4 linked regions of the Macaca fascicularis genome follow. The protein of the gene in region 2 binds, or shares a complex with, the protein of the main gene of each other region. Links are inferred from orthologs where the notes say so. Each region holds a gene or a part of one and is shown on either strand. Other genes may lie near its edges. The genes, in order: CNOT6, CNOT9, CNOT6L and CNOT2.

Region 1 (8,262 bases), on a different chromosome or scaffold from region 2:
GGGCAGATCACTTGAGGTCAGGAGTTTGAAACCAGCCTGGCCAACATGGTGAAACCCTGTCTTTACTAAAAATACAAAAAAATTAGTCAGCATGGTGGCAGGAGCCTGTAATCCCACCTACTCGGGAGGCTGAGGCAAGAGAATGGCTTGAACCCAGGAGGCGGAGGTTGCAGTGGGCCGAGATCATGCCACTGCACTCCAGCCTGGGTGACAGAGAGAGCCTTCATCTCAAAAAAAAAAAAAAGAAAGAAAAACCAAAAGAAAAAATAGATCCAAAGTCACTAACTCCATAATACCTCAAATATATACTTGTACGGCTTCCACTCTATTCTCCACAGGGATGCCAAAGTGATCTCTAAATCACCTTGCTCCCCTGCTAAAAATATTTTGGCTCTCTCTTCTGCTGTAAGATACAGGTAGAAACTTCACTTTTAGCTTAGCAAGCATGGTCCTTCAAAATCTAGACCAGACACACCTTTGCAGGCTCATCTCGAGTCATGCCCACTGTTCCAATAACACCTTATCACTAGTCTTACCCTAACACTTGACACCTCAGTGTACCCACAGTTTCTTCTGTTTAACACGACTCCCTCTCCCCAGTTTGGCAAATCCTATTCAGTGTTATTTTTCGTAAACTGCCCCCACACCCTCCGCAAGTTTAATCATTCTCTATTGCGTTCTCCCACAGCACTCTGTGCACCTATTAAGCCTATACGCTATGAGAGGGCAAAATCAGAGTATTATTTGTCTTTGAATTCTCAGTGTTAAAACACTGTGACTGGCTGGGCGCGGTGGCTCACGCCTGTAATCCCAGCACTTTGGGAGGCCGAGACGGGCGGATCACAAGGTCAGGAGATCGAGACCATCCTGGCTAACACGGTGAAACCCCGTCTCTACTAAACAAATAGAAAAATTAGCCGGTTGCGGTGGCGGGCGCCTGTAGTCCCAGCTATACGGGAGGCTGAGGCAGGAGAATGGCTTGAACCTGGGAGGCGGAGTTTGCAGTGAGTGGAGGTGGCGCCACTGCACTCCAGCCTGGGCGACAGAGCGAGACTCCGTCTCAACAACAACAACAACAACAACAAACACTGTGACCAGTACATACCTTAACGTGTAACTTAAGTTACCAAGAAAATATAAATGGACGAAGGAGAGATAAAGACCAGAGAAGGGTAAAGTGAAGACAGCCTAAATGAGTCCCCATCTTGGATCAAATAACCCCCAACCTCGCTACTTATTCAAGTACCAAAATACAGTACATTCCATTATACTCTAATGCACCCCAGCTATGCATACAGTATATGTTTACAGTTTATTCACAATTTTTTTTTTTTTTTTGAGACGGAGTTTCACTCTTTTTGCCCAGGTTGGAGTGCAATGGTGTGCTCTCGGCTCTGCCTCTCATGTTCAAGCAATTCTCCTGCCTCAGCCTCCCGAGTAGCTGGGATCACAGGCATGTGCCACCACGCCCAGCTAATTTTGTATTTTTAGTAGAGATAGGGTTTCTCCATGTTGGTCAGGCTAGTCTTGAACTCCTAACCTCAGGTGATCCGCCTGTCTTGGCCTCCCCAAAGTGCTGGGATTAAAGGCATGAGCCACCACACCCAGCCTCAGCCATTCTTAATTTCAGATACATAGTGTTTTATTAATCACACTTTGTTGTAAAATGACTACCTTGAGTAATGGGTATAAAGATATCTACAAATCCAACTCTGGTTTTCCCAGTAAAACATACATTTTTAGCTGAGCCTATTAGGACTTTTCCAAAGTGATAAATGCTTTAAAGCAGAGCTTCCCAAACCAGTGGACCTTACTTACATATGGGAATGGGTTCTAAATGTGCTGAACATATTGATCCCTCACCCCTAATGGCCCAACGAATATAGCTGTGAGCTGCCTTAACATTTATTTCAGTATGTCTTACATATATTATCCTTTTCTGTTGCACCACGAAAAAGGTTTATGCTTTAAAGAATATAAGAAGGCAAATATGGGTACTGGAATGTCTAAGCATTAACCAAAATGCATTTTTTTTTTTTTTTTGAGACTGAGTTTCACTCTTGTCACCCAGGGTGGAGTGCAGTGGCAATCTCTGCCTCCCGGGTTCAAGCAATTCTCCTGCCTCAGCCTACTGAATAGCTGGGATTACAGGCATGCGCCACCACACCTGGCTAATTTTGTATTTTTAGTAGAGACAGGGTTTCACCGTATTGGCCAGGCTGGTCTCGAACTCCTGACCTCAGGTGATACACCCATCTCGGCCTCCGAAAGTGCTGGGATTACAGGTGTGAGTCACCGCACCTGGCATAAAATGCATACTTTTAAACTACAGGTACAGTGGGCAAATTCCTACAATGCCTTTACACATTTGTAGTTAGGACCAAATTCTATAAACCAACCTTATGTCTGCTCAAAAGAAAACAGTTTGAAATTTCCCAATAATTGTAGTTTTACTTTGCCAACAACATTTAAGAAACCTGAAAATACCTACAAATTGAACAGGCATATTCAAAAGGAGCTGCCTAGGCTGCATCACCACTATCAAGACACTATGGAAATTAATGATTGGCTTTCAGAGAAAATCGTCAGTCTCACAAGAATATCTATGTCTTTTGTCACCATTTTTAAAAACTGATCAAGACAGGGTCTCACTACGTTGTGACAGTTATCACAGGCTTTAAATACTTCATATTTTTCTGAGACAGGGTCTTGCTGGTCTCAAACACCTGGGCTCAAGCCATCCTCCTTCCTCAGCCTCCCAAAGTGCTGGGATTACATGGTGAGCCATCATGCTTGGCAATTACATAATCTTTTTTGACCATTTCATTAAGCATCTCGTTCACCTACTGAGAAGTGACCTGAAATAACTTCTAACCATTAAAATACCCTCTACCCTCCCAAAAGAACAAACCTCTAGCAATGAGGTCACACACTCGTGTGCTCTCACATGCACACAAACCCAGTGCTTCCCCTCGTAATTACAGTATCATGGGCAAGTCACCTCCACCTTTCTAGGTCTGTTTTCTCATTAGCAGCTGTTCAAATATTTTGTTTAAAACAAAACACCTGGAGTAGATCACAGATCTAAAGATATTAAGCCATTTTTATTCTAATTTTACTCTAAAAGTCACAACATTCTAAAGACTGTGATGGCCAGGCATGTTGGCTCATGCCTGTAATTGCAGCACTTTGGGAGGCCAAGGAAGGAAGATCGCTTGAGTTCTGGAGTTGGAGACCTGCCTGGGCAACAAATCAAGACTCTACAAAAACTTTAGAAATCAGCCGTGGTGGTGTCTGCCGGTAGTCCCAGCTAGTCAGGAGGGTGAGGCAGAAGGATCGCTTGAACCCAGGAGGCAAAGGCTGCAGTGAGCCAAGAACTGTGCCATTGCACTCCAGCCTGGGTGACAGAGTGAGATCCTGTCTCAAAAACAATAAATAAATTAAAGACTGTGATAAATGTCTTAACAGCAATTATCCAAAAAAGCCACCCTTTTGATCAATGGCCCACATCTACTCCTACAGCCTACAAATCTGTTCTGGAGTGGGAAAGTCTAGTATATTGTAAAAAAATACAAAGTGCTACTACACACTATTTTATTTTTTCAGTTATTCACATTCACTCTCTTCCTCTTCAAAGTTAAATTCCCAGATACAAGTAGGCAAGAAGATTCAGCACTAACAATGAGACAATCCACCTGGAAAACAGGTAAGTATGGGAACTCAAATTCAAGCAGATTATCTAAAACACATCAGCTTAACACAGTAACAACAAATCCAAGAAGGTCAAGCGAGATGACCATTCACGATGTTGTCAATGGCAGTAACAGTTAAAAACAGAAGGCTACAGGTGTTGGTTAGCAGGCTCCTCGCGGAAGGCGAAGGAGGTAAAGAGTCAAAGGAAGTTTCCAAAGAAAATAACGATTAGTGTTGAAAAACAAAAAGGAGGGGTGCAATTTGGGTTCCCAGAGAAAACTGCTTCTAGAAACCAGCGCGATCTCCGAGTCCTTAGCAATACTATAAAACAAATCTCTTCACTGCATGCTAAGTGCTTCTTTAACCTGTAATCCACCCCGTCCTCTCCCCCAAAAATCTGCGTTAAACTGCATTTTAAGAACATTTTAGGGGGGGTAAGCAGCGGGTTTCCCGCTCGACAGTAACTGCGGCCGCGGAGTGCGAAGTTCCACACGCGAACCACCCACCGAGCCGCTCCTCCGAAGTTGCCACCGTCTTGGCCCCGAGTCCCGGGACCACGGACTCGCTCCTCCGGCGACGGCAGCCGGGACCGGCCGGGACCCCAGAGCCCGGCGCCGGCCCCTCCCCTCCCCTCCGCCCGCCGCCGTCAATCAACGCCCCCCGGCAGGGACTCGGCTCGGGGGCGCGGCCCGGGGCGGGGCGGGATCGCGGCGCGTCGAGGGCCCCCCACAGCCGCCAGCCGGGGAGCGGCGAGCCCGCCGCCCACGAAACTCAAGTTGCCGCGACCGAGGCCGGCCGACGGGGCGGTCCGTGCGCGGCCGCAGAGAGAAGCGGCGCCCCGGCCGGGCCTCGGGCCTGCCTCGCTCACCTCTCGGGGTGCGCCGCCTTCCTCCGCCGCTGCCGCCGCCTCCTCCCTGTGAGCGCAGCGGGGTCTGACCTGTGGAACCACCATACCAGTCCCGCCCGCTGCTGCAGCGCCGCCGCCGCCGCCGCTCCTCTCCGCCTCAGTCGCTGCTCTTTGTTCCCCCTCCGAGAGCCGCCGCTTCAGCCGCCCGCCTCAGCCGCCCCGGCGGGCCGCCACTACGCCCTCCCGCCCTCTCGGCCCCCGGCCTCGCCCGCCTCGCTGCGCCCGCCGCTGCCTTCGCCTCCGCGCCGCCGACGCCGCCGACACCGACGCCGACGCCTCCTCCTCCGCGCCCCCCTCGTTTTCATTGAAAGCAAACAAGCATCATGGCGGCGGGCGCCGTCCCTCAGCCAGCGAGCGCCCGGACCGCCGCCGGCACGCCAACATCCCGGCCGCTCATTGGCCGCCGTCGCTGGGCGCAACCATCCGGCCTTCGGCGCGGGGGTCGCTGCGGCCCGCCTCGGCCTAGGCCCCGCCCCTCACCCCCGCGCTGAGGAACGGTGGTCCGGCCCGGCGCGCTGCGGGCCCTGCTCCCGGCCTCCCCCGTCCTCTTTCCGTCCATCCTTGGTCTCCTTCTGTTCCCGCTCTCCCCGCTCCGTTCCTGCCTTGGCACTTCTGTTTTCTCCTCTCTGTAGCGCTCCTCCATTTTTCATCTACTTCTTTTTCTGCCTCGGGTGGTCCCCTTTTTTTTTTTTTTTTTTTTTTTTTTTTTTTTGAGACGGAGTCTCGCTCTGTTGCCCAGGCTGCAGTGCAGGGGCGCGATCTCGGCTCACTGCAAGCTCCGCCTCCCGGGTTCACGCCATTCTCCTGCCTCAGCCTCCCGAGTAGCTGGGACTACAGGCGCTGCCACCTCGCCCGGCTAATTTTTTTTTGTATTTTTAGTAGAGACGGGGTTTCACCGTGTTAGCCAGGATGGTCTCGATCTCCTGACCTCGTGATCCGCCCGCCTCGGCCTCCCAGATGCAGGGATTACAGGCGTGAGCCACCGCGCCCGGCCGGGTTGTCCGCTTTTATCTCTTCTCTTCCCTCTTCCTTGATCCTCCTCCCCTTTTTTTCTCCTTTTCCTTTTCCTTAAGCCTTCGCCTGTCATTCACGTCGAAACACAGGTATTTGCCCGGAGCCAGTATCTTGATCTGCCTAAAGACAAGACAATCAGTCGTGAGCAGGCGAATGTTATTCCTTCCTCAATGACGCAGAAAAAGAGTAAGTTAACATACCGTTTCAGTCCATGAATGGTAATTCATTCCAGTACATTAATGGACAGTGTGGTGCTGGGCTCCTAGCCTGAGTAACGGACAACAGCTGCTGTGCGCCAAGATCGAAAGGTGTTCGGGGCAGACTCTGGTGGTTGAAGGTGAGCAGAGAAATGATTGGGCTGATTCATGATGCTTACATCAGGAAATATTAGTTGACTGATGGTCAGGGCACAGAGATGAATCAGACCCCACCCAGCCCTGAGTAAGCTCACAGTCTAGGGGCAAGAAGAACACTCAACAGACTTAATTACTGGAGGTATATTGGTCTGGCGCGGTGGTTCACTCCTGTAATCCCAGCACAGGCCGAGGGGGGCAGATCAGCTGAGGTCGGGAGTTTGAAAACAGTCTGACCAACATGGCAAAACCCCCTCCCTACTGAAAATACAAAAAATTAGCCAGGTGTGGTGGCGGGCACCTGTAATCCCAGCTACTGGGGAGGCTGAGGCAGGAGAGTCGCTTGAACCTGGGAGGCAAAGGTTGTGGTGAGCCGAGATCACACCATGGCACTCAGGCCTGGGCAACAAGAGCGAAACTCTTATCTCAAAAAAAAAAAATTCGAAGTATATGCTGAAGGGTATGGCGTCAAGGAAAAGGAATAGCTGCCTGCCCACCTATGTGGCAAAGTAGGATGGGCTGCTAACTGCTTCCTGGAAAATCAACCCTGAAGAAATGGGAGTGAGACAGGTTCCAGGAACCAACCGTAGCAGCAAACCAAGGCTTCTGCGTCACTGAAGGCTGTTGAGAGCTGGGGATGTGGGAAATGGGTTGCTGTTGCCTGGGGTGGAGGAGACCTGGCTGGAAGGGCAAGGAAAGGATGAGGGAAAAGCTGTTCAGAGATCAAGATGATCTCCCTCTCCCCAGCATGGCCTTGGGATGGTCATTGCTTAGCACTGCCATGGCATCAGTAGTGACAGCCCAGGCCTCTAGGGCCATAGGACACTGGGCAACGATGGCAGTGCAAAAGCCCAGGAGTCAGGAAGAACACATGCAGACCGACCAGCAGGCTGCCTGTGGCCATCCCTGCACAACCTCCTTCCGCCCCAGGCAGGGAGTCGTGCAGCCTGTGTTGTACAGAGCATCCCAGGCTGAGAGGCCAGTGGCACAGACACCCTGCAAGGCCTCTCCTCCCTGTGTGAGTGCCCTGGCCATCTGTGCTCTAGCCTGGGTGCCTTTTTGTAATTTGTATGGCCAGAGGCAGCTACTCTCAGCCCGGTGCAAGGACTCGCGCCTGTAATCCCAGCACTTTGGGAGGCTGAGGCAGGCAGATCACTTGAAGCCAGGAGTTCGAGACCAGCCTGGCCAACGTGGCAAAACCCCATCTCTACTAAAAATACCCAAAAAAAATCAGCTGGGTATGGTGGCGGGCGCCTGTAATCCCAGCTACTTGGGAGGCTGAGGCGTGAGAATTGCTTGAATCCAGGAGGCAGAGGTTGCAGTGAGCTAAGGTTGCGCCATGGCACTCCAGCCTGGGCGGCAGAGCGAGACTGTCTCAAAAAACAAACAAAACCCAGAGGTAGCAATCCCCTCGTGACTGGCAGGATCGTACGGAGGTGGGGAGGTCTCGTTGCACAAAATCTTGGTAGCATAAAGCAACAGTTTTACTGTATCTCGTGATTCTGATGCTCGCCCTTGGGGCCGCATGCCTCTGCCAAAGGTGGCAGCTGGGTGTTGAATATCTGGCACCTTGGTGCCCCCTAACGAGGCCTCCCTCTGCAGTGTCTCATCCTTCAGCCTTTGTGTGTGGCCCCTCTCTCCAGCCGGAGGTGATCCTGCACTTCTTACATGGCAACCAGGGGCTCCAAGAGGAAAGCAAAGCCGCCAGGCCTTCTGAAGAAGGCCACTTCCTCAATATTCTATTAATTAAAGCAGGCACAAGCCCAAGCCAGATTCAAGAGGAGAGGACATAAGCTGTAGAGGAGCTGCGCACACATACAGGGTGGGGTGGACTTATTGGAGCCCTCTGGGGAGACTTGCTACCGCCAGGAGGGTACAATAGTGGCTCTGCTGTGCGTGCCCTGTTCTTTCTGCATATCTAAAGAGAACCCCCGGAAAACACCTACTCACCTTTCAGATCCAGATCAAAGTGCCGCTCACGTTAGGCCAGACCTCCCGTTGCAAGTTATAAAACTCACAACTCAGTATTTCTTTGCAAGAAAGAGGGAATTGAATTGAAAGAGGGAATGCGGACCCATTCAAGCATTGTAAGGTGGCATCAAGAATCAATCTCACCTCCTACCTTCCACCCTACTCTCCTCTCTGCTGGCCTCACACAGGTGGGAAAGATGCCACCAACACCTGCAGGCTTAGATTCTACCAGCTTCTCCACTTAGAGAAGGTGCTTCTTTCCTAATGGCCAAAGACCCAGGGCGGGCTCTCACTGGCCTGGCCTGGGCCCTGTTTCTGCTGCAG
Region 2 (8,057 bases):
TCCAGAGTTGGATTAAGCAATCCCATCTTTGATTGGAGATGGGGATGAGAAAGTAGGTGCTAGCAGGGGAAAGGACTGGGGAAAGCAAGGCAGTTTACACTTGGCTGCAGATTCAAGCCTATGGATTGTGAAGAGCCATCTAAGCTCCAGAGAAGAGGAAATCTCTGATACGGTAAGAACAAGTGAATATTTTAGCGGCAACCCTGTATTCCCATAGACCAAAAGAGAATGTGTCAAAAAAAAAAAAAAAAAAAAAAAAAAAGACTGAGTGAGCAGAATCCAGCCCTCCATCTTCAACCATCTTCAATTTGAATAAAATTAACTCATACGGCTAATACTGCTCAAGTATAATCACGAAGACAGATGGAGCTGCTGAAATTCACACTAAAACAAAGAATAGGATCAAGTGGATTGTCACCTTAATCCCAAGCACCTCCCTTTTAGAGTTATCGAGAAAGTATCTTTGAAAACTTGGATTGAATGTGAGGTCCACCACCGCCCCTTGTCCCTCAATACAATACCCTTCCAAGACAGCCTGATGAATTAAGACATCTGTTTTAATAGAAGGGAAGTTTTAAAAAGGGAAAGCACGGAGATTTGGGAAAACTAGCAGCTAAAGCCAGAAACAAGGTTAAGGTCCTTGTGGCATTCCAGACTGGAAGTAGAATGGGAGAAGGGAAACAGGTGGTAGGTTCCTGCTGTCCTTTGGCTTTACATCTTTTCCCTGCCCTCCCATTTCTCCCAACAGCTTGATGCAGCTATTGGCCTGCCAGAGGGGATGTAATGCCCAGACCAACTTTTTATTGAGCTTATGCAGCTAACAGACTTGTAAACAGTGCCAATTGACAAAGTTTTGCTGAATATTACAGCTTGTGCCCACTAAACACACCTCTCTCTGAGATTAAAAACAAAAAAACCAAAGTAAACAAATACTGAGAGAGAATGAAGAGACACATCTTGAGTCTTCCAGGAAGGCAAAATAAAAAACGCCACATGGCTTGGTCCCAGGCGTTCACCATGCCTAGAGTGCTGCTGCTATCACCACTGTCTCCCCTCCCTGCCAGTGGCTAGGTAGAGGTAGGGGAGAAGGGTCATCTTGGACATGCTGCAAATACAGCATTTGCTGGTGTTGACACCCTCCTGGGGCTGTGGTGGCAGACTGCTGTGTCAGGAGCCCATTTCCTGGGAGTAGCAGAGGGAGCCCAGGTCCTCAAGACGGCCTGAGATGGCAGCCCATGCACCTCAGCAGGGGTACCTTGCCCCTTTTCTCCAGTATGGTTCAGCATTGAGGTTGTCTATTCCCAGTCGGTGATAAAACCTGAGCTGTTTTTCTCATAGGTTCCCCCTCCTTTCCCCAATTTGGGGGAGTAGTGGGAGGGAACAGGGAAGGATCACTGAGGGGGCAGGGGGATACCCCTGGGATCGGTGACCTGGCCCTCTTGCAGGTTCTTCACCAGTTGTGCAAGCCAGCGTTTCGTGGTGGTGTCATCTTTTAGCACCTGGGCGAAGGTTGTGTCTTTCAGCTGGTCAGGGAGGCACTGCCTGAGTGCTTCACGTGCCCTACATCAGAAACAAACAAACCAACCAGGGAGACCAACAAATAAACCCACATTTTGTGGACAGGGAAGAGCCCCCTTCTTAGACATAAATATTTAGTATACCGTGAATCTATGGCTCCTTAAGACGCCATTAAAATTCTCTAAAGCTGTATTAGGCATAGGCTCACAGATCTCCAAAATCTGTATCCACAAACATTTTCTGAATGATGCCCCAATGTAGAATTTCATGAAAAAGCAAAATTAAAAGCTTCAATAGTTTACTTCCATTCAAACAGCTTTCTGATTTATTACAGTAAATACTGTCAAAATACTCATGTTAGAAATATATGGATTATGGCAAATAAAATATTTCAAAAATCAGTACATTAACAAGGATATAATCAAGATTATGATAACTTAATGAATTTTAATTCTATACTAAGTTATCAATTTGTGTCTTTACAGAAATTGCTTCAGTTTTATGGTTAAAAACCTTAATAAGAGATGAGCAGTGAAAACAAAACTATGGTAGCAGCATTATCAGATGAACTTTTAAACGTTTCATTTTCTTTGAAAAGATGACCAGCAGAAAGTCAAATCTGAAAACCTAAAAAAGGTAAATGTTAACTATTTATAGAGCTATTTTAAACAAAGTTATAGTTTTGCACTCAGACTAGTTTTCTTTAGAAACTAGTCTGACTAGTTTTTTAAACAGACTAGAATTTTAAACAGACACATTTTTAAACTTTGGTGAAAACAAGAACCACTGAAGAACAGGATAAAATGGTCAACAAACAGGTAGGGCTTGAATAAACTCAGTGGCAGGAGACCGAGTTCACATTAAATCAAATCAAGCTAGCTCTGCTCCCAAGAACACAGAAATCGCTCCATTATGTGGTTTAGCAGAATATGAGCAAGTTGCTTTCAGCATGAATTATGGATTTACAAAGCAAAAGGTCAAACATTTCTAAAATGCATTATATCTACAATGTATGATTTCTGGCAGAAAGATTATGAACATAAGCAGATAAAATAATTAGCTCAAGAAACTTATAGGAATCAAGGAGAGAACTGGAAATAGAATTCAAGAGCCCTCTGGGCTGTGTTCCTTTTTAAGAGATCTCTGAAAATATACTTCTCTTTCTGACCACATAGAGTAGCAACAGAAAATTCAAACAACAGGAGTAATGCATTATAAGGTTTCCCTTGGAATCGCCTAGACTCTCTGGAATTTCACAGTAGGATTGAGAGTTACAGTGAGAAGATGAAACTCTGATGGCTATTAAAATTCAGCATTTCAGATTTTTTTTTTTTTTTTTTTGAGACGGAGTCTCGCTCTGTCTCCCAAGCTAGAGTGCAGTGGCCCGATCTCAGCTCACTATAACCTTTGCCTCCCGGCTTCAAGCGATTCTCCTGCCTCAGCCTCCCGAGTAGCTGGGACTACAGGCATCCGCCACCACTCCTGGCTAATTTTTTTTTGTATTTTTAGTAGAGACGGGGTTTCACCATATTGGCCAGGCTGGTCTCGAACTCCTGACCTTGTGATCCGCCTGCCTCGGCCTCCCAAAGTGCTGGGATTACAGGTGTGAGCCACCACGCCTGGCCAGCATTTCAGATTTTAAAAGGAATTTAAGTTCTGTCTCAGACAAATTAAATGTAGTTATATCCCTACTTCCCTGTCCTAAAGACACAGGAGCTATGCCATGAGATTGGGAAACTGTTCAGCAGAGTATTTCCCTAAAGTCCTATACATCCTATCAGTGTTTACCTGGGGTTATCTGAAAGCCGAAGGTAACATCTCACTACATGCTTCAGCAGACGGGCAGAAGGCTCTTTGGATAGCTGCAGGACCATCTTACCCTGTTTCCCCCAAAATAAGGGGAGGGGTTGGAAAAAAACACACAAAACACAAAAAAATTCTAATTGACATCAGAGATCAGATAGTCCAAGAATCATAAAAGGTTCCAAAATTGTTATTTCTAGTCAGAAGACTGAAGTTGTTCAGTGCCAGTTATAAAGAGATTAAGCTGTGTGATGAGACGTAGTTGTAAAGGGGATAGATGAAAGAACTCACCAAGATCATGGCAACATGGGAGAAACGCTCATACGTCTGACATATATAAGCCAAACCAGTGTCATCTAACAAGATCTTCTGGAGGATGAATGTGGCAACCTGAAGCAAAACAAAATCGAAGAGTTTATGAAGTTGCTCAGATTTAATCTTCTCATTGTCTACTCATTTTCCCAAGCATGACTATCAGTCAGAAAATTGAGCAAGCAGGGATCCTTGTGTATTATGTACAACTTATCATATATGTATAGTACAAAGAATAATAAATATTATCATATTGAACATTACTTTGTACCAGTGTTTTTTTCTAGAGGCTTTACATGCTTTATCTTATTTTTATAATAAATCAATGAGGTAGGTACCATTATTATTCTCATTTTACATACAAGGGTAGGTTCTGCGTAATAATCAAATTCTTAAAAATCAGGAGACCTTCTCATTTATAGAGTACCTACTATGTGCCAGGTATAACTGTTAATCAATAATACACCAGGTTAAGGTCCCAAGTGACAAAGTTACTGTGGCAGAGCTGAGATCCAAGCCTCATTTGAATATCTAAGGCTCTTCTCTTTTCCATAAGCCAAGATGATTTATTTAGCTATGCCTCATCTCTTCCAGATGAAGTAAGGCCTTTCTTTTTTTTCTAGATGGAGTCTTACTCTGTCACCCAAACTGGAGTGCAGTGGCTCCATCTCAGCTCACTGCAACCTCTGCCACCCTAGTTCAACTGATTCTCCTGCCTCAGCCTCCTGAGTAGCTAGGATTACAGGCTCTTGCCACTGTGCCTGGTTAATTTTGGTACTTTTAGTAGAGACGGGGTTTCACCATCTTGGCCAGGGCTGGGCTTGAATCCCTTGACCTTGTGATCCACCTGCCTCGGCCTACCAACGTGCTGGGATTACAGGCGTAAGCCACTGCACTTGGCCAAGGTAAGGCCTTTCTTGTTCTTAAAAGATCTTGAAGAAGTAAGATTTTAAAGTTCCTCTTTGAAGATTATTCTAACAGCAATAAAACATATCCTGGCTGTGAAGCTTATACGTGGCCTCAATTTTTCCCTCAACTTAAGCTCATTAAGTCTTACATAGAAGAGATATTACATTAGTTTAATTCAAATCAGACAATCACGATAATGATACTCTTTCTTAGCTGCTCATCAAAATGAATTGTGGAATTATTTTACTATTTTATTGAGGTTATAACACTGTAGTAGGCTGAATAATGGCTCTCAAAGATATCCAGGCCCTAATCACCAAACTCTGCAAATGTTACCTTAAATGAACAATGGGACTTTGCAGATGTGATTAACTTAAGGATCTTGAGATGGGGGATTATCCCAGTTTATCTAAGTAGGCCTTAAATGTAATCATGAAGTGTCCTTAAAATCGACGTAGAGAAGGCCAGGCAAAGTGGCCCATGCTGGTAATCTCAGCACTTTGGGAGGCCAAGGTGGGAGGACTGCTTGAGGCCAGGAGTTCAAGGATGCAGTGAGTTATGATCATGCCACTGCACTCCAGTCTGGGCGACAGAGAAAACACCATCTCTTAAAAAAAAAAAAAAAAGAGAGAGAGAGAGATGTAGAGAGATTTTACCACAAAGGAGAAAGCAATGTGACAAGCAGAGAGAGATCTGAACATGCCACACCACTGGCTCTGAAGATGGAGGGGGCCATAATCCAGGGAATGCAAGAAATGCAGTTCTAGAAGCTGGAAAAGGCAAAGAAAAGACTCTCCTCTATATCCTCCAGAGAAAGCATGACCCCTGATACAATGACTTTAGAATGGTGAAACTCATTTATAACTTGTGACTTTCAAAACTATAAAACAGTAAACTTGCATTGTTTTAAGCCACTAAGCTTCTAGCTTGTGGTAATTTGTTACAGCAGCAGGTTATATAGGAACCTAATATAAACATATACACAGTAAAGTGTGTTAAGTACACTAATCTTAAGTGTTTCTTGAATTTTTACCTATGTACACATTATGTACTATAACCAGATTAAAATACAGAATATTGTATAAAATACAGAATATTTGGGAGGTGGAGGCAGGCGGATTGCCTGAGTTTAGGAGTTCAAGGCTAGCATGGGCTACATGGCGAAACCCCATCTCTACTAAAAATACAAAAAATTAGCTGGGTATGGTGGTGCGTGCCTGTTAGTCCCAGCTACTCAGGAGGCTGAGGCACAAGAATTGCTTGAACCCGGGAGGCGGAGGTTGCAGTGAGCTGAGATCACTCCACTTCACTCCAGCCTGGGTGACAAAGTGAGACTCTATCTCAAAAAAAAAAAAGAAAAGAAAAAGAAAAAAGTATTTCTACCAACTCATGATTCCAGCATTCCCTTGTACCTTTCCCCAGTCAATGTCCTTCCCTCAGAGATAACCACAAATCCAACTTATTGCCAGTAATTGGCTTTGCTTGTTCTTGAACTTCACATAATCAACATACAGTATGAATTCCCATGTGTCTGGCTTCTTTTGTTCAGCAATGCCTTTGAGAGTCATCCATATATTGTATATTTAAAATAAAAAGTTTAAAAATAGCCAGGTATAGGGATGTGTGCCAGTATCACAGCTACCTACTCAAGAGAGGGAAGTGGGAAGACTGCTTGAGTCCCGGAGTTCAAGGCTATAGTGTGCCATGATCATGCCTGTGAATAGCTACTGCATTCCAGTCTGGGCAAAATAGTGAAACCTCGTCTCTTTAAAAACAATAAATTGGCCAGGCACAATGGCTCATGCTTGTATTCCTAGTACTATGGCAAAAGGCAGGAAGATCCTTTGAGCCCAGGTGTTTAAGAGTAGCCCAGGCAACACAGGGAGACCTTGTCTCTACAAAAAATAAAAATAATTAGCTGAGTGTGGTGGAGCAGGCATGTGGTCCCAGCTACTTGTGAAGCTGAGGTGGGAGGATCACTGAATCTGGGAGGTCGAGGCTGCAGTGAGCCATGCCTCTGTACTCCAGCCTGGGTGACAGAGAGAGAGAGAGAGAGAGATCCTGTCTCAAAATGAATAAATAATTTAATTAAAAATTAAAAAACCAGTGCTCGCTTAGACAGCACATATACTAAAATTGGAACAACACAGAGAAGATTAGTGTGGCCCCTGTGCGAAGATAATACACAAATTCATAAAGCATTCCATATACATATTTTTAAAAGTAAAAAAAAACAAAAAAATCATTATATCCGCTTACACCCAACTCAAGAATATTTATTAGACTAAAAAAGTAATTTAATGTGACAAGGCACATTTTAGAGCAGAAGTTGAATACTACCAAAAATAGTCAGCAATATGGAAAAGAAACCTTGAAAAAAAATCAAATAATATGAAATTTAAAAATTGAAAGTGATTAGAGAAAAAAATACGAAAGACAGATAATAGAGCATAACATGTTGCTGAACCAAGAGGCTTGAACAAATAAAAGAGAAAAATATACAAATTAACAAAAAAGACACAAGTAATATGCTCTTTCAGAAAAAAATTGAGGCTGGGTGCAGTGGCTCACGCCTGTAATCCCAGCACTTTGGGAGGCTGAGATGGGTGGATCATCTGAGGTTAGGAGTTCAAGACCGGCCTGGCCAACATGGTGAAACCCAATCTCTGTTAAAAATACAAAAAAAAAAAAAAAAAAAAAAATTAGCCGAGTGGTGGTGTGTGTCTGTAGTCCCAGCTATGTGGGAGGCTGAGGCAGAAGAACTGCTTGAACCTGAGAGGTGGAGGTTGCAGTGAGTTGAGATTATATCACTCTGTCTCAAACAACAACAACAACAACAACAAAAACAAAAACAAATTGGCCCGGTGCAGTGGCTCACGACTGTAATCCCAGCACTTTGGAAGGCTGAGGTGGACGGATCACCTGAGGTCAGGAGTTCAACACCAGCCTGGTTAATATGGTGAAATCCCATATCTACTAAAAATACAAATATTAGCAGGGCGTAGTGGCATATGCCTGTAGTGCCAGCTACTTGGGAGGCTGAGGCAGGAGAATCGCTTGAACTTGGGAGGCGGAGGTTGCAATGAGCTGAGATTACATCACTGCACTCCAGCCTGGGTGACACAGCGAGACTCCGTCTCAGAGGAAAAAGAAAAAAGATACATGATTATCAAATGAACTTTAAAAATAATAAAAGACACTTGCAGGTAACCGCGCAAAAAAGTAAGTTCACCTAAAAAAGGAAAGAATTAGGCTGACCCTGAGACTTCTCTGCAATATTCAACGTTAGAAGACAAAAGGACTATGGCAATAGAGGTCTGAGACAGAACAATGAGGTAAGAATTCTGTACCTTGTCATGCTGTCATTCACGGTTAAAGTACATAGTAAGCAGAAGCTCAAGTACATATAATTGATTATGTCTTTAAAAAAAGTCTGGTTGGCCAGGCGCGGTGGCTCAAGCCTGTAATCCCAGCACTTTGGGAGGCCGAGACGGGAGGATCACGAGGTCAGGAGA
Region 3 (7,385 bases), on a different chromosome or scaffold from region 2:
TACTGCAGAAGGGTGATCTGAAGGGGCAGCCAGAAAATATTCATTACAGGTAGCTATCTAGTTTAATAATGTTAGCAACTTTTAAGTGAATTCATTAAGTGATATTTGGATACTGTTAGTAGGTACAGAAGAATGATTAAAATTATCGTAGGACTTTATATTACTTCTTGAGCTCCTCTAAACTACTTTATGTCTGAACTTATATCATTTTACTTTTTATAAAAATAGTTTCTGCATTTTAGGTATCAAATAGAAAACATTAAACTATTACTCTTTTGCTAATACCAAAGCATATGTTAACTTTTGTATATTATCACTACTAGGCTATTTTAAGTTATTTAAGTAAGTAACAATAAGGTTACTATAAGATAACCTAAATGCCTCCATTTGGAATATTAAAAAAGTCACTGAACGTGAAAACATCTTTTTCTTCTTAGCAAATAATGCTGAAATCATTGTTAATAAATATCTGTCTTTAACCCCTAGCCTGATTGGCACTTTAACCACATGCTCCTTTCTTAATCCTTTCTTAAGTTGAATTATTCTCAAGTGCAAGTTTTTCTCCCATTGTATTTGATTTGTTAAAGCCAGTTAGCTGGCATTTGGCAATACAACGTAGTGAAATGTCTTTGGTGCCAGACTGTCATGGTTGGATCCTGATTCTGCTACTTATGAACTATGCAATCTGTGACTAAGTTCCTCATTTTTCCTTTTATTTTTTTGTTTTGAGACAGAGTTGCGCTCTTGTTGCCTAGGTTGGAGTGCAATGGTGCAGTCTCGACTTACTGCGACCTCTGCCTCCTGGGTTCAAGCGATTCTCCTGCCTCAGCCTCCCAGTAGCTGGGATTACTGATGCATGCCACCACGCCCAGCTAATTTTTATATTTTTAGTAGAGATAGGCTTTAACCATGTTGGCCAGGCTGGTCTCGAACTCCTGACCTCAGATGATCCGCCCACCTCGGCCTCTGAAAGTGTTGGGAGTTTACAGGCGTGAGCCACCGCACCCAGCCTAGTTCTTCATTTTTAACAAGGGGGGAATCATGTTATCTACTTCATAGAATTGTTTGTGAGATTTACATGAATAAAGCACTTAGAACAGTGCCTGGCATGTAGCAAATACTAGGTAAATAATAGTGCCTTCTGAGCTATTTACAATACTGATAATTGTGCTTATCACACATTCATTATATCTTACTATCAATCCTTATTACAAATAGAAGGATGACTCTAATAATGCACTAATCATAAGGGTTTTGATACTGTTTTCATGTTTGCTAATTCAGTGGAAGCAGTGCACTTTTCTGAATGCTATTCTTCTCTTCAGCCTTGTATTTTTAGCCAAGTGGTATATTTCTGGCATATAATATTCTTTATAGTGTCAGACTGAGAAAACTCACTGTAGCTCAAAATAAAGAATGATACTGTCTAGCTGACACTAGACATTGAAATGTTAAAGATGCAAAATCTGTTTTTGTTGTAAACGTTTTTTATTAATATGTTCTACTTATATATTTGCAGAGTTGTTGCTTAGAATGGGAAAATGCTAAAGAGATAGTGGTTTGGAATAATTTTCCGAAAACATTTAGGGTTAATGCCTTCCTGGTGAATGCCATCCTAGGTCCTGGAAATTTTTGGCCTGAAGAACCACCAAGAAAACTAAGGATATCTTTGAGTGTTCCTGATATATTTTGTTCTGAAATAGGCAAACATCCTTTGATTCAATTGATTGAATCGTATGAAATGGCTGGTATTTGATTTTTTATTTTTAAATAATGACAAAAGGCAGTTTTATATGGTTCAATCTAAGAAAACCATTCTGAGCCTGGTGGATTAACCTGGTAACAAGTCTTGGCTGTGAAGCCTTGTGTAAGGTCTGAATGCTAAATGGGAGTGTCTCTTTTTTCTTTATTCTACCAGGTGTTGTGGAATACTTAAGCAATGGAGGAGTAGCTGACAACCATAAAGACTTCAAGGAACTAAGGTACAATGAGTGTCTTATGAACTTCAGCTGCAATGGAAAGAATGGAAGCTCAGAAGGGAGAATCACACATGGCTTCCAACTTAAGAGCGCCTATGAAAATAACTTGATGCCTTACACCAATTACACCTTTGATTTCAAAGTGAGTGGCAGCCTTTGGGCAGGTGTAGAAATTATTTCAGATACAAGCATGTAACAAAAAGGTGTAAATTCTTTATGATTAATTGTATAATCTTCAGGAATTTTTAGATTCTTAAAATGTCTAGGCTAAGTATGCACCTAGATATAAGTAGGTTCATTGGGTTTTGTGGCTATTGTCTTAAATTCTTCTTGCTCTCTCGTTTGTTTAGATTTTAAATAATATAATAACAAAAACTTTGAAATGCTCACTAGGTACGAGGCACTTGTCAAAGCACTTTGTATATATCAATATAGTTAACCCTCACCTGCTCAAACCATCCCTAACTTTCAGCAGTAACCTCCCTCCTGCCCCCGACAGAAAAGCACTGAATATAGCAAAACTCACTTTGAATGAATTTATGTAGTATTTTCTCAAGATTTTCTTTCTACCTTCCATTGATGTCTTAGTATCTTTAAATTTTCAGATTTCTTTTGGGAATGGGGTTAGAGAAGGTTGTACTTTGGTTCTATTTTATATCCATGTATTTGTACTAATATATTCCTAGGCAGTGGAACACTCTGAAAGAAAAAGACATTTTTTTGACAAATACACACAAAAAAATGGAAAGGCCGATTGTACAGGACCAGCTCTTCTTTAGAAAGACAGATTGTGGTGGCTTTATGTAATCTCTTTTCCAGTGCTAGTTTTCTGATCACTCTGTGTACCTGTGACTCTGCTATTGTACCTCTCTTTGACTTTCTGGCATTTCAGGCATCTATAGTAGAATCTTACACTATCTGGAAAAATCCAAGTGTTAGAAAGCAGTTTGGTATAAGAAGCCTAGCAGGAATTTAATAAAATGCCAAAGGAAATTTACAAATGGACTCCCTTACATCTCCAATAACCTTTTTCTGTTTTTGTGTGGGTTAGCTCCTTTCCAAGAAACAAATAGGAGGAGGAAGAAAAGGAATTCATGTGTTGTTACTAATCAGCTTTCATAATCATGAAGTGGAAAAAAAAGTGCTTAGAAATTGAATCTAATTTAGTATTTTTGCTATTAGAAAAGATAATTCAATCCAGCGATAGTTCATTTTGGCCCAGCCACTCATATGTAGTTATGTGCTGGTAAACATTTAATAATGAGCTTTTTGGGAAAAAGCTCTGATTTGTGGTGTTTGCCGATTTCTGTGGTTTAAGTACTTCTACTGTAGCAGAATCCAGTCTCCCAACACGATACCATTGAACACAGAGTTAGGAAGAGGTGCTAGAAAAGCTAGTACTAGCTGACTCTAGCACATCATTGCTTTTATGTAAGCTTAAAGGAACACCTTTTAATGGTACACAGTTTACCACAGCTTAAATCCTATCCTTGTAACTATAGTGATATATATCTGCCAGCGTAACCCAGAAAACCTGTGATAAAGTTCCTGAAAATAAGTGTTTAGTAATTCTGCAACTATCATTATTATTTAGGTATGTGTATAGGTAAAAAGAAAAATTTTTTTTTCTTTTTCACATAGACTTTTTTTTTTTTTTGAGATAGGGTCTCAGTTTGTCGCCCAGGCTGGAGTGCAGTGGCAGGATCTTTGCTCACTGCAGCCTCAAACTTCTGTGCTCAAGACATCCTCCTACCTCTGCCTCCCAGGTAGCTGGGACTACAGGTACACACCACCACGCCCGGCTAATTTTTTGTATTTTTAGTAGAGACAAGGTTTTGCAATGTTGCCCATGCTGGTCTCAAACTCTTGGGTTCAAGCCATCTGCCTACCTCAGCCTCCCAAAGTGCTGGGATTACAGGTATGAGCCACCGCACCCAGCCTAGACTTTTTTTGTTTTGAGACAGGATCTCGCTCTGTCACCTAGAGTGGCACAATCATGACTCACTGCAGCTTCACCCTCCTGGGCTTAGGCAATCCTCCCACCTCAGCCTCTTGAGTAGCTGGGACTACAGGTATGTGCCACCATGCCTGGCTAAGTTTTGTATTTTTGAGGGCTTTTTATTTTGGTAGAGACAGGGTTTCGCCATGTTGCCCAGGCTGGTCTTGGGGTAATTTTTGTAATTTGAGGGTTTTTTGGTTTTGGTAGAGACAGGGTTTCACCATGTTGCCCAGGCTGGTCTTGAACTCCTGGGCTCAAGCAATCTGTCCACCTCAGCTTCCCAAAGTACTGGGATTATAGGTGTGAGCCACTGTGCCCGGCCTAGACTTTTTAAAAGCTTATTTCTTCCTTGTCTGTAAATAAAAAAATCTGAGAAACACAATTTGGGACATTAATCTACCTTCCTTAGTCATCTGAATTGGTTTAAATTATTTATCGACAGTCCTTCAAAAGATCTTGTGTTAATAACTGAATAAAAAATCCTATTGAGCCATTTACGTTGTTCAAATAAGTACAGCTAAAGAACTAGAAATGTCTGGCTCAGAGAGTGTTTGATGTTTGGATGTATAAGAGAATCAGAGAGAAGGATAAAGGTGGGAGAGAGTAATATATGGGAAGATAAATAGGCTGGCTGGATAGATAGATGGGATGAGAGGATAGAATAGTATTTGAAGGAAAGATGGCTAGAGACTAAACTAAGGGCACACATGAGTAGAGAGAATTGAGCTCTTAGTCCAACAGAAAATGAACTTTTCAGTTTTATACATATATTTTGTAATGCTATCCCAATATTGAAATCTATCAGTAAAAGAAGATAGGTAACATCAAATGTAAAATACCTTGTGATCAGCATCGAATACAGATCCATTTGTATTAGTGAGGAGCCATTGTATCAGAGAGGTGTTAAATTTTGTTTCTTGGCTTAGTATTTGTTTACTTTCTTGGTCCTTGAACAAAATAGAAATGTAGAAAAGAGGTATTTAGAGCTCAGATTCATTTAATTGCAAACTGATTTGGAATGAACTGAAGAGTAAACAATTAGAAGAATTACTCCTTTTTCAACATTACTTTCAGACCAGGTAAGTTTAATAAACAGCTTAATTCAAACCTGCTGCTGATCCTCACCCCATGCTTATCCTCTAATCTGAGGGTGTGCCTGAATCATTTAATAAAAGGAAGGGCAGCTTTTATTTTATAGCAAATAGTAAACTTTTCTGTTACATTATGAAATTGGTATTGTAATTTTCTGGCATTCTTTTAAAAAACAAAGCTTAGCATAATGGTAACTCAGACTATTAATATTTTCGTTGTGTTTTGACTTTTTTCCAAATACAGTTCTATAGACTTATACAATAATAGTCCTTACTAATATAAAGAGTGCATTTTCCCACATTATTAGTATTATATCTTTTAAAAAAGAAACTGACTCAAAAGGGTTAAAAATCATTAGTCTGTAACCTCCTTTGTGCCTATGATCAAAGTTAGGGATCCTTCTCATAGGTGTATATGTACAAATACGTTGGGTGAATTCAGACATAACCTGGCTAAGGGTTTTGGTAAGAGTTTTTACTCCGGATATTTCAAACCAAGAGAATGATTACAAGTGATGCGTTCAATTAAAAACATCTTACTTCCTGGAGTGTTTAACATTTTTTTCTTGGGGCCTACCTTTGCAAAGAATTCTAGCAGTTGATGTGCATGATGGCACTCTAATAAGGTTGTAAGATATAGGAGGCTTTGTTGCCCAGGCTGGAGTGCAGTGGTGTATTCTCAGTTAACTGCAACCTCTGCCTCCCAGGTTCAAGCAATTCTTTTGCCTTGACCTCCCTAGGAGCTGGGACGACAGGTGCATGCCCCCAGACCCAGCTATTTTTTTTGTATTTTTAGTAGAGATGGGGTTTTACCATGTTGGGCAGGCTGGTAATGAACTCCTGGCCTCAAGTGAGCTGCCCGCCTCGGCCTCTGAAAGTGCTGGGATTACAGGAATCAGGCATGAGCCACTGTGCCTGGCCTTATAGGTTTTATTCCACATAAGTAATTGAGATTATTTCATGTGTTTTATTTTAGAATTGAAGCAAAAAGTTGTCTCATAAGGAGAAATAAAATTACCCTGATCCTTGTTAACTCATTTTCTGAAATATCACTGTAAAACTGTAAAACTAGGCATATAACCAAAATGAAGGGATAATACCTTATGATCCTATCATTTTTTGACCATTTAAACTTGGAGTCCCCTGGACTCATGTAAGTTCCTTAATTTGTGGTAAAGTAGGGTTGGATAAGGGCTTCTTTTCTTTTATTATTATTATTTTTTAAGAGACAGAGTCTTGTTGTCAGCCAGGTTGGAAAGCAGTGGGACAATTATAAGTAGCCTCAAACTCCTGGACTCAAGTGAGCCTCCTGCCTCAGCCTCCCAAGTAGCTGGGACTATAGGTGCATGCCGCCACACCTGGCTAATGTTTGAATTTTTCGTAAAAACCCAGGTCTCATTATGTTTAACCAGGCTGGTCTTGAAGTCCTGGGCTTAAGCCATCCTCTTGCCCCCGCCTCCCAAAGGGTTGGATTATAGGCATGAGACACTGCACCTGAATCTTCTCTCTTAGGAGAGGAGCAGTTTTGGTGTTTTGATATTGGTCAAATGAAAATCAACAAACTGAAATGATTGTGTCCAAAATCTCACAATATAAAAATTTGTTTTCATTAAAAGTTTTTGTGTTTTAAGTAGCCCGTTTCATTATAATACTTTTTAAAGTATTGGCTGGAACTCGTGTATAGTATTTGTAAATAGGTTTTTACAGGTGTAGAAATATTTCTCCCTCCTTGGGCTCAGGCTGTCCTGATACGAATAGGAACTAGATAGGAAGAAATTTGATTTTGCTCTCTTGCATACACAACCTGGGATAATAAAAGCCCCCTGGTTTTGAGACTTACTGATCAGACTAATCAAGTCATTTAGCTCTGAGAGATAAAACTGCTATGTATGGCTTCCTGCTGAATGATTTTTGCTGAGTTATCCTTATGCAGGAAGGAAATCCAGAATTTACACATATTCTAGTATTTGTGAAAATGAGTATTTTAAATTAAGAATAGGACAGTTAACTGTGTAGTGTTTTGTATGTATGTAGCAAATCTGGGAAAGCTAAACTAGGATTAGCAAATTCATAAACATGGTTTACTACAGCTTCAGCCAGGTGTGTTTGGATATCTCGATATGCAAATAATTGAAAATAATACCATTAACTATGTATGCGCTTATATAAATATTCTTATTTTCTACTTATTATAGCCAATAGGATTAGTACAGGTTCCATTATATTTATACTGATATGTTAGATTTCACTAAACCAAGCAGGCCAATTCTAAAGATAACTGGACATAATTTAATGTGTTTAGCTTCTCAAATTATC
Region 4 (8,057 bases), on a different chromosome or scaffold from region 2:
AAGTGTAAAGGAAGTGAAAGGTAAAAGAATGCTCACTGAAATGGAGCGCTTGTAGAGGGGAGAGAAGATTTAATAAGGAAATGTCATTTGTAGCTATGAGCTTTTAATTTCTAAATGTTAATGTATGCTCAGCAGCACAGATTAATCACACAAGATTAAAAGCTTTGAAAAAAGATTCCAAATTTTAGCATTTGTAAGTGGTAGCTTGTGTTCAAGATGTAGAATGAAATAGTATATTCCATTGTTTCTAAAATGTACATTTCTTCATACTTTAATGTCTTTGAAATCAGGCTGCATCTGCAAACTGTAATTTAGTTGTAGTTTTTTTTTCCTAAATGTGACGTAAAGTAACAAGTAAAGATGTCTGACAGTGCCATCTTAGATTCTGCATTATGGTTTTATACAGTGCTGTAAAACGAGAATTATTTTTTAAATTCTGTTTTAACTAAGCGTATTTTATGCTAGGAAAATGCCCAGTTCTTTCCTAAAAATATAGATTGGGGGTTGATTAACTTTTTTAGGTTAAAACATAGTCTCAAATAATATATGGCAAATTTAAATTCCATCTTGGAGGACCTAAAGATATGTATTAAAAGTTAATATATATTCAAAATGTATAATTAACTTATAATCAAAGAATTTGAGAAATTATAAATTGAAGCAGGATAGAAATTCTTAATTTCTATTGTCTTAATGATAATTTTTTAATTCGAAGTTCTTAAACTGCAGAAATAAATTTATAAACTGCAGTTTTTGTAAACAGCAGGTATGAATGATTTATCGTTTACCCTTGTAATTTGAAATTGTCACCTGTCTTTGAATGTTAATAAATTAATGGTGTCTGTTGTTTTTCTGTCAACGAAGTAATCTTGAGATAACATTTGCTGTTTGAGATTCTTACAATTGTGAAATTTGGAGAAAACTAAAAATTAATTGGGAAATGGCAAAATAAACTGAAAATGGTGAAACAAAAATTAAAGAAAAGCTATAGCGCAGGCTAAAAGGAAGGTAGAAAGTTTTCTTCAAAAATTAAGAACACAAGGTTATAAGAATACTAAAAAGTTAAGAAATTGAGATGATTAAAATAGACAAAGTAGAGAAGTTGGGTTAAATTTTAATTTTTAAAGGAAGCCAGCTGATTGTTTTAACTTAAAATGAACAAAAATACATTTAATTTATTCTATATATATTTATTGAGCGCCTACTGTGTAATAGGTAATATAAACTTCTGGGCTTTGTATCATATTTCTATATTTCCAACCCATTTACCATATATGGGAACCCTACTGCTACCCTTTTGTACCGCACCCGTGTGCACACACATTTGTATATGAACGCAGTCAATTACAGGTGGAAGTCCTCAGGGCTTCTGCGTCACTGCCTGTGTCTCAGCTATCTTTCTGGCCATTTGCAGGAGGCACTATCATTGTCACCATTTGTGTGTAACCGAAGCTTCAAGCATTCTAGATACAACCTCCATCTGAGCATAATGAAAAGACCAGTTATATCATAACAGTCTCCCTCTTGTTAGCTCACACACTATAATTTTAGGTTACCATCTTCCACGGGGGAAATATATGCTTTTTCTTCTCTTTGTTATATCTCTAGGATTTGGGGGTTTTTATTATGCTGGTTGCGTATTGCTTTGCTAAATTGTTCATGAAATTCTTTGACATGAAATCAATCTGCAAGTATCTTTTGAGCAGCTACATACACCTTGTACAGTGCTGTGCATTATTTAGGAAGAAAGCACAATCATTTCTAATTATATTATAGTTGGTTTTTATAGTCTCTTAAAAATATTTGTAGAATCAGTAACCAGTGTTCGTTCTTATTATTTAGACGGAAGTGAAAATGTGACAGGATTGGACCTTTCAGATTTCCCAGCATTAGCAGACCGAAACAGAAGGGAAGGAAGTGGTAACCCAACTCCATTAATAAACCCCTTGGCTGGAAGAGCTCCTTATGGTAATTAAGCTTTTTCATGATGACCAGTGGGAAGTTTCCATTGTATGTGCACACACACATGCATTTACATGTACATATACATATGTTTGTGTATACGTATATGTTTGCATTTTCTAATCAGGTTAGTGTAATTTTTTCAGAATTGATATATTAAAAGTGATTTTTCTTCCCAGAATACCATGGTAGCAAAGTTAAATGGGAAAACTTTGTACAAAAACCCAAGAGGAAGTCCTCATTGGTATTCAGAAGTTATTTTCTTCTGTTATCCCTGCCTTAGTTTACCTTAGGTGATTTATTTTTGTGGTCTGCCTTTTCTCTCCTTAATTGATCACACATTTTTTCAAAAGAATATATTCCTGGTGATTAATAATGACTGACTATACATTGAAGATGTTTTTCTGAGCCAAGGTTTCTCAACCTCCACACTGTTGACATTTGGGCCAGGTAATTCTTTGTAGAGAGGAGATCTGGGGGGCTGTGGTGTTTATATAGAATGCTAAGCAACATTCCTGGCCTTGGCCTACAAGATGCCAGTAGCACTCTCTGTTTCCAACCCCCACAGCCTCTATTGTGACAGACACAAATGTTTTCAGACATTGGCAGATGTCACCTGGGGAAAAAAAATTGTCCCCTGTTGAAAACCATTGCTCATGGGTCATGTATAGCTTATGCAGACTCTTGGTCTCCATTAATATCCTTCATCACCCTTTTTCACTGTCTCTAATAGATAAGAGATTTGGCTAATCAGGGATAAACAGAAATAAAGGAGGGGAAACATATGCAATAACAGTGTAACAATTTGGGCATGAAAATTCTGTGACAGCAATGTGGCTATACTGTTTTTATCACATAGTTTTTTTCTTTTGGGAAAACCTGATAGAGACCAGTAACAAAACGGTGAATTTAAAAGAATCAGTTCATCCATTATTTTAAGATAGAATTAATATTTGATCACATTTTCAACCAAGAAAGATTTCTGTGCCATTCAGATATGAATACAAATAACAGTATATGAAGAAGGGAAAAATGTATTGTTTATATTCTAAAGTTTCCAAATTAGTCTCCCCAAAATTAAAAGAAAAAATGATCTGCCCTGGAAGTTGAGTACCTAGCTACTTGATTCTCAGTTCAGACTCTAATGTTTTTAACCTTTCCTCATAGGTCCATTTTTTCATCCCTTTAATCATTCCCGTTGCTCTCCTTGGACCATCTCTAGTTTCTCCATATCGTTCTTGAATTGTGGAGCCCCAAACTGGATATTGTTCTCCAATAAGGGCCCGACTAATGCCAAGTATAGTGGGAGGATTATTTCCCAGTTCTTGCATGTTTTACATCTATAACATGGAGTCCAAGAAAATCTGAAATAATATGGAGTTGTTTTATAATTGATTGCAATTTGCTCACTCTGTAAGTCGCTTTCAAGTAGAATACTGACATATTCTTTTAAATTTTATTTTGTTCATTTGTATTTGACAGTTAACTGGTATTTATATCTAGTCAAATATTTAAATAAAACAAGCTTTTAAACCAAAATTGTTAATAATTAATCCAATATCAAATTAAATTTTTAAGCACCTACGCATGACAGTAGATGTACAGGATTACTATTGATTTCCCTTGTATTATTTTGTATGTTGAGTTATTAATCAGTAAATGAAAATTTAGTTCTTCATTGTTACCCTGGATACTAATTTTTTGAAGTACGCTTTCATAGCATTAAAAAAAAGAAAACTTTTGGTGTATTATCATGAGGAAAGTTAACTTTATAATCTGTAGCAAAATATCATAAGTATCAATTGCAATTCTCCGGATTATTTTCATTACATAGTTGGAATGGTAACAAAACCAGCAAATGAACAATCCCAGGACTTCTCAATACACAATGAAGATTTTCCAGCATTACCAGGCTCCAGCTATAAAGATCCAACATCAAGTAATGATGACAGTAAATCTGTAAGTAACTGAGAACTATGTGAGTGAGTGATGTAGTTTTTCCCTTCAGATTTCTCTTATATTAACAGTTACTTACTAAATACTGTTACAAAACTGTTTTATCTTGATATCTGTAATAATCTAACTTCTGAAGAATGTGGAAAAGCTTTATAACTTAGAAGATAGCCTATTTTTTTCCTATTTCATATAGGTTTGCAAATTTCTGTTGAACTTCTCAGAGTTAATTTAGACTTTTATTGTAGTCCCTGTCAGCTGGATCCCATGAAGTTTGATAATATAGCCTTCTAAGGAGCTGTGTTTTTCTTGAGTAAGTTTTCTCCTTGAAGAATTTATACACATTTTTATACCTGTGTTGATTCAGCCAACTCAGCTTCTTCTTTCTGACTTAACAAATATGTTTATTTCTTCCACATTTCACTGAAAATAGCTTTTCTGTGTGTGTGATGGGAGTTTATATATTATTAAAATAATTGATAAAGAAGATTGGTAAGAATTAGAATAAGTACAAAGTTTTAAAGCTTATATGTTCTAACTTATCTTGGAGGTAGCTTTGGTGATTTTAGGTAATATACTGTATTTAGTTTCTCTTTTACATGAAAGCATTGAGGAGTGTAACTTCAAGTGTATCCCAAAGCATAAAGACCTGAGAAAGAGATAGATTTTTTTTTTCTGTGACTGAAGATCTGAGATAAATAAGAATATTTTCCCTTGATTTCTTTTTCTTTAAATACTCAAATGTGGATGATATAGGATTTATTTGTATACCATGGAACAATGATGGAAACAATTTTCTATAGAACTTGAAAAACAGGTAATAATTTACTACCAATTTAAATATAATAAAGAATGAATAGCAAGGTATTAATATGTGAACTTTTTTGTATACTTAACAAATTTTAATGTCACATTTAATTTTTTTCATGCTAGAATTTGAATACATCTGGCAAGACAACTTCAAGTACAGATGGACCCAAATTCCCTGGAGATAAAAGTTCAACAACACAAAATAATAACCAGCAGAAAAAAGGGATCCAGGTGTTACCTGATGGTGGGACTCTAGAAATCTATGTCAAAGATGTTATAGAATGCTTTTTTTTTTTTTTTTAACTTTTCCTTGAAAATAAAAGCAACTGTGTTTTTTCTACCCAGGTCGGGTTACTAACATTCCTCAAGGGATGGTGACGGACCAATTTGGAATGATTGGCCTGTTAACATTTATCAGGGCAGCAGAGACAGACCCAGGAATGGTACATCTTGCATTAGGAAGTGACTTAACAACATTAGGCCTCAATCTGAACTCTCCTGAGTAAGTTTTTTCTGTTTTTTCATGTCTGTATATAATACCTCTTCAGACTTCCAGTTTTTAATATCATGTCATCAAATTGTCTCACCTACTGCTACTCATTGTAATCTGTTTTTTCTCTGGGTCATTCGCTTGCATATTAGCTCTTAGATCACTGGCACTCTGCAGTATTCCTTTTATAATTTGGCATTTTATATGTCTGTGTGTGTGCATGTGTGTGCATGTGCAAGTATGTATATGTGTGTGTGTATGTATGTGTATATATATACACACACCTTCCACAATCCTGAAATCTCAGCTCCTTGAATTTCTTTCCTCCAGGAATTTTTGTCCTGTAGTATACTTCAGCCACTCCTTTAGTTATCCCTTTGACCTAGTCATTGTTAGTAACTGCAGTCTCTCAATTTTAAAATCTGTGCTCACATGCTTTCCGATTTCCACTTTCTATTTTCTAGTTATCTTCTTCTGGTACTGTAATTCCTGTAATCATTTCACTCCACCGGGGCCTTCAATCTATTGATTCTTCTGTGTTTTAACTGTTCTTCCATATCCCTGTCTCTCTTCCTCTGTAATCAACTCCCTTCTTACCCATGAAATTCTGTGGTCAGTCGTAATTGTTCATTTACATATCCCGTGACTACTTTGCCGTTTTCTCATGTTGTTATACTTGCATGGCCAAAGCTACAGTACTGGTTGTTTCTGCCTATTTCATTCCTGACCTGTGCTACTGAGCCCTGCTAGAGAAAAACACATGGTATCACTGCCTGGGCTTCCTTTATTTTCGTACCCAGGAACCTCAAAAGTAGGCTCTTAATTCTACCAGGGATAATTATACCTTGCATGCTTAGTCCATTTACTCTTTTCTCTCTTACGCAATTACATACACTTCTGCACACCCCTAATACCTTTTCTCCTTGTTCTTACTATCAAATGATGACCTTGCTTTTTACTTTTACTGTCCTAAGAAAGTTGGAAGCAATTAGAAGAGCACATTTAGCACAATCTAGCCACCAAATCTGACTACCTACAGCCATCTACATCTACGTTATTCTTGTCTTCCACCCTATTACTGCAATTGACCCATGCGTTCTACTTAACAACAGATTTTCACACTTTGTTGGGTCATTTTCATCAACATAGAAATACATTGTTACTTCTCTCATCTTAAAATCTTCCTTTGATCCAATCTCCTCTGTAAGTTACTTTCCCATTTCTTTGTTTCCCTTTGAAGCAAAACTTTTCAAAGAATCATCTCAATTCCTCCAACTTGGTCTTCTCCATTCTCTGGTAAGCCCATTTCAGTCAGGATTTTGTCCCTGCCACTTCACTAAAGCTGCTTTTATTCAGGTCACCAAATGACCTCTATGTTATTAAATTCAGTGATCACTTGGAGGAACTCTTGCTCCTTAATACACATTCTCATCCTTGAATTTGAGAGCACCATTTTTTACATCATCCTCACTGGTTGGTCTTTTTCAATTTCCTTTGCTGGTACCTCCTCCTTTTCTTCTTGACCTCTTTGTGTCATTCCTCTTCTCTGCATTTAGATCCTTGATGGTCTTTTCTAGTCTTATTGTTTTAAATACCATATATATTAAGGAATCCCAAACATATGTTTCCATTCCATACTTCTGAGTGTGAGATTTCTACATTCAATTGCTAATTAAATATTTCTTGAATTATCACCCCCCAACTTACTCTGTCTACAGCCTTTCCAATCTCAGTCAGTGGTAACTCTGTACTTCCAGAAGCTTGACATTATTCTTAACTCCTCTTTCTTTTATACCCCATAATCAGGCTTTTGCCAAAATATATACAGAATCTGACCAAAGTTCACTACTTTTTAACTGCTACCACCCTTGTTTGAATCATTCTCTCTTGCCTGAATACTCCATTAGCCAGTCCCTGGGGGTCCCTGATTGTCCTTATCCCCCTTCTCATACAATCTCTTCATATAACAGCCAAGAGAGTCCTTTTTAAATAAATTACTCCTCTGCTCAACACCCAGAAAGAGTTTGTGGTTTCATTATGATTAAAAACCCCAAATCTTTTTTTTTTTTTTTTTGAGACAGGGTCTTGCTCTTGTTGCCCAGGCTGGAGTGCAGTGATTCTATCTTGGCTTACTACAACCTCTGCCTCCCAGGTCCAAGCGATTCTCCTGCCTCAGCCTCCTGAGTAGCTGGGATTACAGGCATGTGCCACCATGCCCAGTTAATTTCTGTATTTTTAGTAGAGACAGGGTTTCACCATGTTGGCTAGGCTGGTCTCAAATTCCTCACTTCAAGTGATCTGCCCATCTTGGCCTTCCAAAGTGTTGGAATTAAGGTGTGAGCCACTGCACCTGACCAGAAACCCCAAATCTTTACAGGCCTACAAGGTCTTACATGATTGTTGTTTGTCCCCTAACCCCACCTCAACAGCTTTTCCCTTTGTTCACTGTATTCCAGCTTCGCTGGCCACCTTGTATCTCAGACATGTCAGTCATGTCCCTGCCTTAGTTGCTTTAGCAGTTCCCTCAGACTAGAAGAGTCTTCTGCCAGATAATTAATATGATTATCTCCCTCATAGCCTTCAAATCTTCAGATCTGACCACCTTAATGAAACCTAATTGACCACCCTATTTAATAATTATCTGTCCAGTCTCCCCTCCCAGTTCCCTCTAACATGGGCCGTTGTTTATTTATTATGTTAATTGATTTTTGTTTGCCTCCCTCCAATCCACCATTCCTCAACCAGAAAGTAAGTTTCATGTTGTCAGTGATCTTGTTTTGTTCACTGACGTGTCATAAGCTCCTGGAACAGTGCCAGGCATATAATAGGCACTCAGTAAATA

Evidence for each region.
Region 1: CNOT9 (region 2) and CNOT6 share a complex: the UniProt entries of both Homo sapiens proteins name them as parts of the CCR4-NOT complex. The link is inferred for Macaca fascicularis from reciprocal best matches to the Homo sapiens genes CNOT9 and CNOT6.
Region 3: CNOT9 (region 2) and CNOT6L share a complex: the UniProt entries of both Homo sapiens proteins name them as parts of the CCR4-NOT complex. The link is inferred for Macaca fascicularis from reciprocal best matches to the Homo sapiens genes CNOT9 and CNOT6L.
Region 4: CNOT9 (region 2) and CNOT2 share a complex: the UniProt entries of both Homo sapiens proteins name them as parts of the CCR4-NOT complex. The link is inferred for Macaca fascicularis from reciprocal best matches to the Homo sapiens genes CNOT9 and CNOT2.

What each region holds. Positions count from the first base shown.
Region 1 is NC_088380.1:187,398,920-187,407,181, reverse strand, and holds the start of CNOT6 (CCR4-NOT transcription complex subunit 6), read right to left. Parts: upstream 4,155-8,262; intron 3,885-4,154; coding exon of another isoform or gene 3,806-3,884; intron 3,696-3,805; 5' UTR 3,591-3,695; intron 1-3,590. Other genes in the region: uncharacterized protein, read left to right, coding at 3,806-3,884, 4,155-5,314. UniProt on the Homo sapiens protein: Poly(A) nuclease with 3'-5' RNase activity.
Region 2 is NC_088386.1:114,517,396-114,525,452, reverse strand, and holds part of CNOT9 (CCR4-NOT transcription complex subunit 9), read right to left. Parts: intron 6,756-8,057; exon of another isoform or gene 6,649-6,755; intron 3,712-6,648; coding exon 3,613-3,711; intron 3,399-3,612; coding exon 3,307-3,398; intron 2,146-3,306; coding exon of another isoform or gene 2,100-2,145; exon of another isoform or gene 1,561-2,099; coding exon 1,392-1,560; 3' UTR 1-1,391. UniProt on the Homo sapiens protein: Component of the CCR4-NOT complex which is one of the major cellular mRNA deadenylases and is linked to various cellular processes including bulk mRNA degradation, miRNA-mediated repression, translational repression during translational initiation and general transcription regulation.
Region 3 is NC_088379.1:56,141,804-56,149,188, forward strand, and holds the end of CNOT6L (CCR4-NOT transcription complex subunit 6-like), read left to right. Parts: intron 1-1,918; coding exon 1,919-2,121; intron 2,122-3,643; coding exon 3,644-3,922; 3' UTR 3,923-4,104; downstream 4,105-7,385. UniProt on the Homo sapiens protein: Has 3'-5' poly(A) exoribonuclease activity for synthetic poly(A) RNA substrate.
Region 4 is NC_088385.1:77,064,539-77,072,595, forward strand, and holds part of CNOT2 (CCR4-NOT transcription complex subunit 2), read left to right. Parts: intron 1-1,842; coding exon 1,843-1,968; intron 1,969-3,796; coding exon 3,797-3,921; intron 3,922-4,848; coding exon 4,849-4,969; intron 4,970-5,070; coding exon 5,071-5,227; intron 5,228-8,057. UniProt on the Homo sapiens protein: Component of the CCR4-NOT complex which is one of the major cellular mRNA deadenylases and is linked to various cellular processes including bulk mRNA degradation, miRNA-mediated repression, translational repression during translational initiation and general transcription regulation.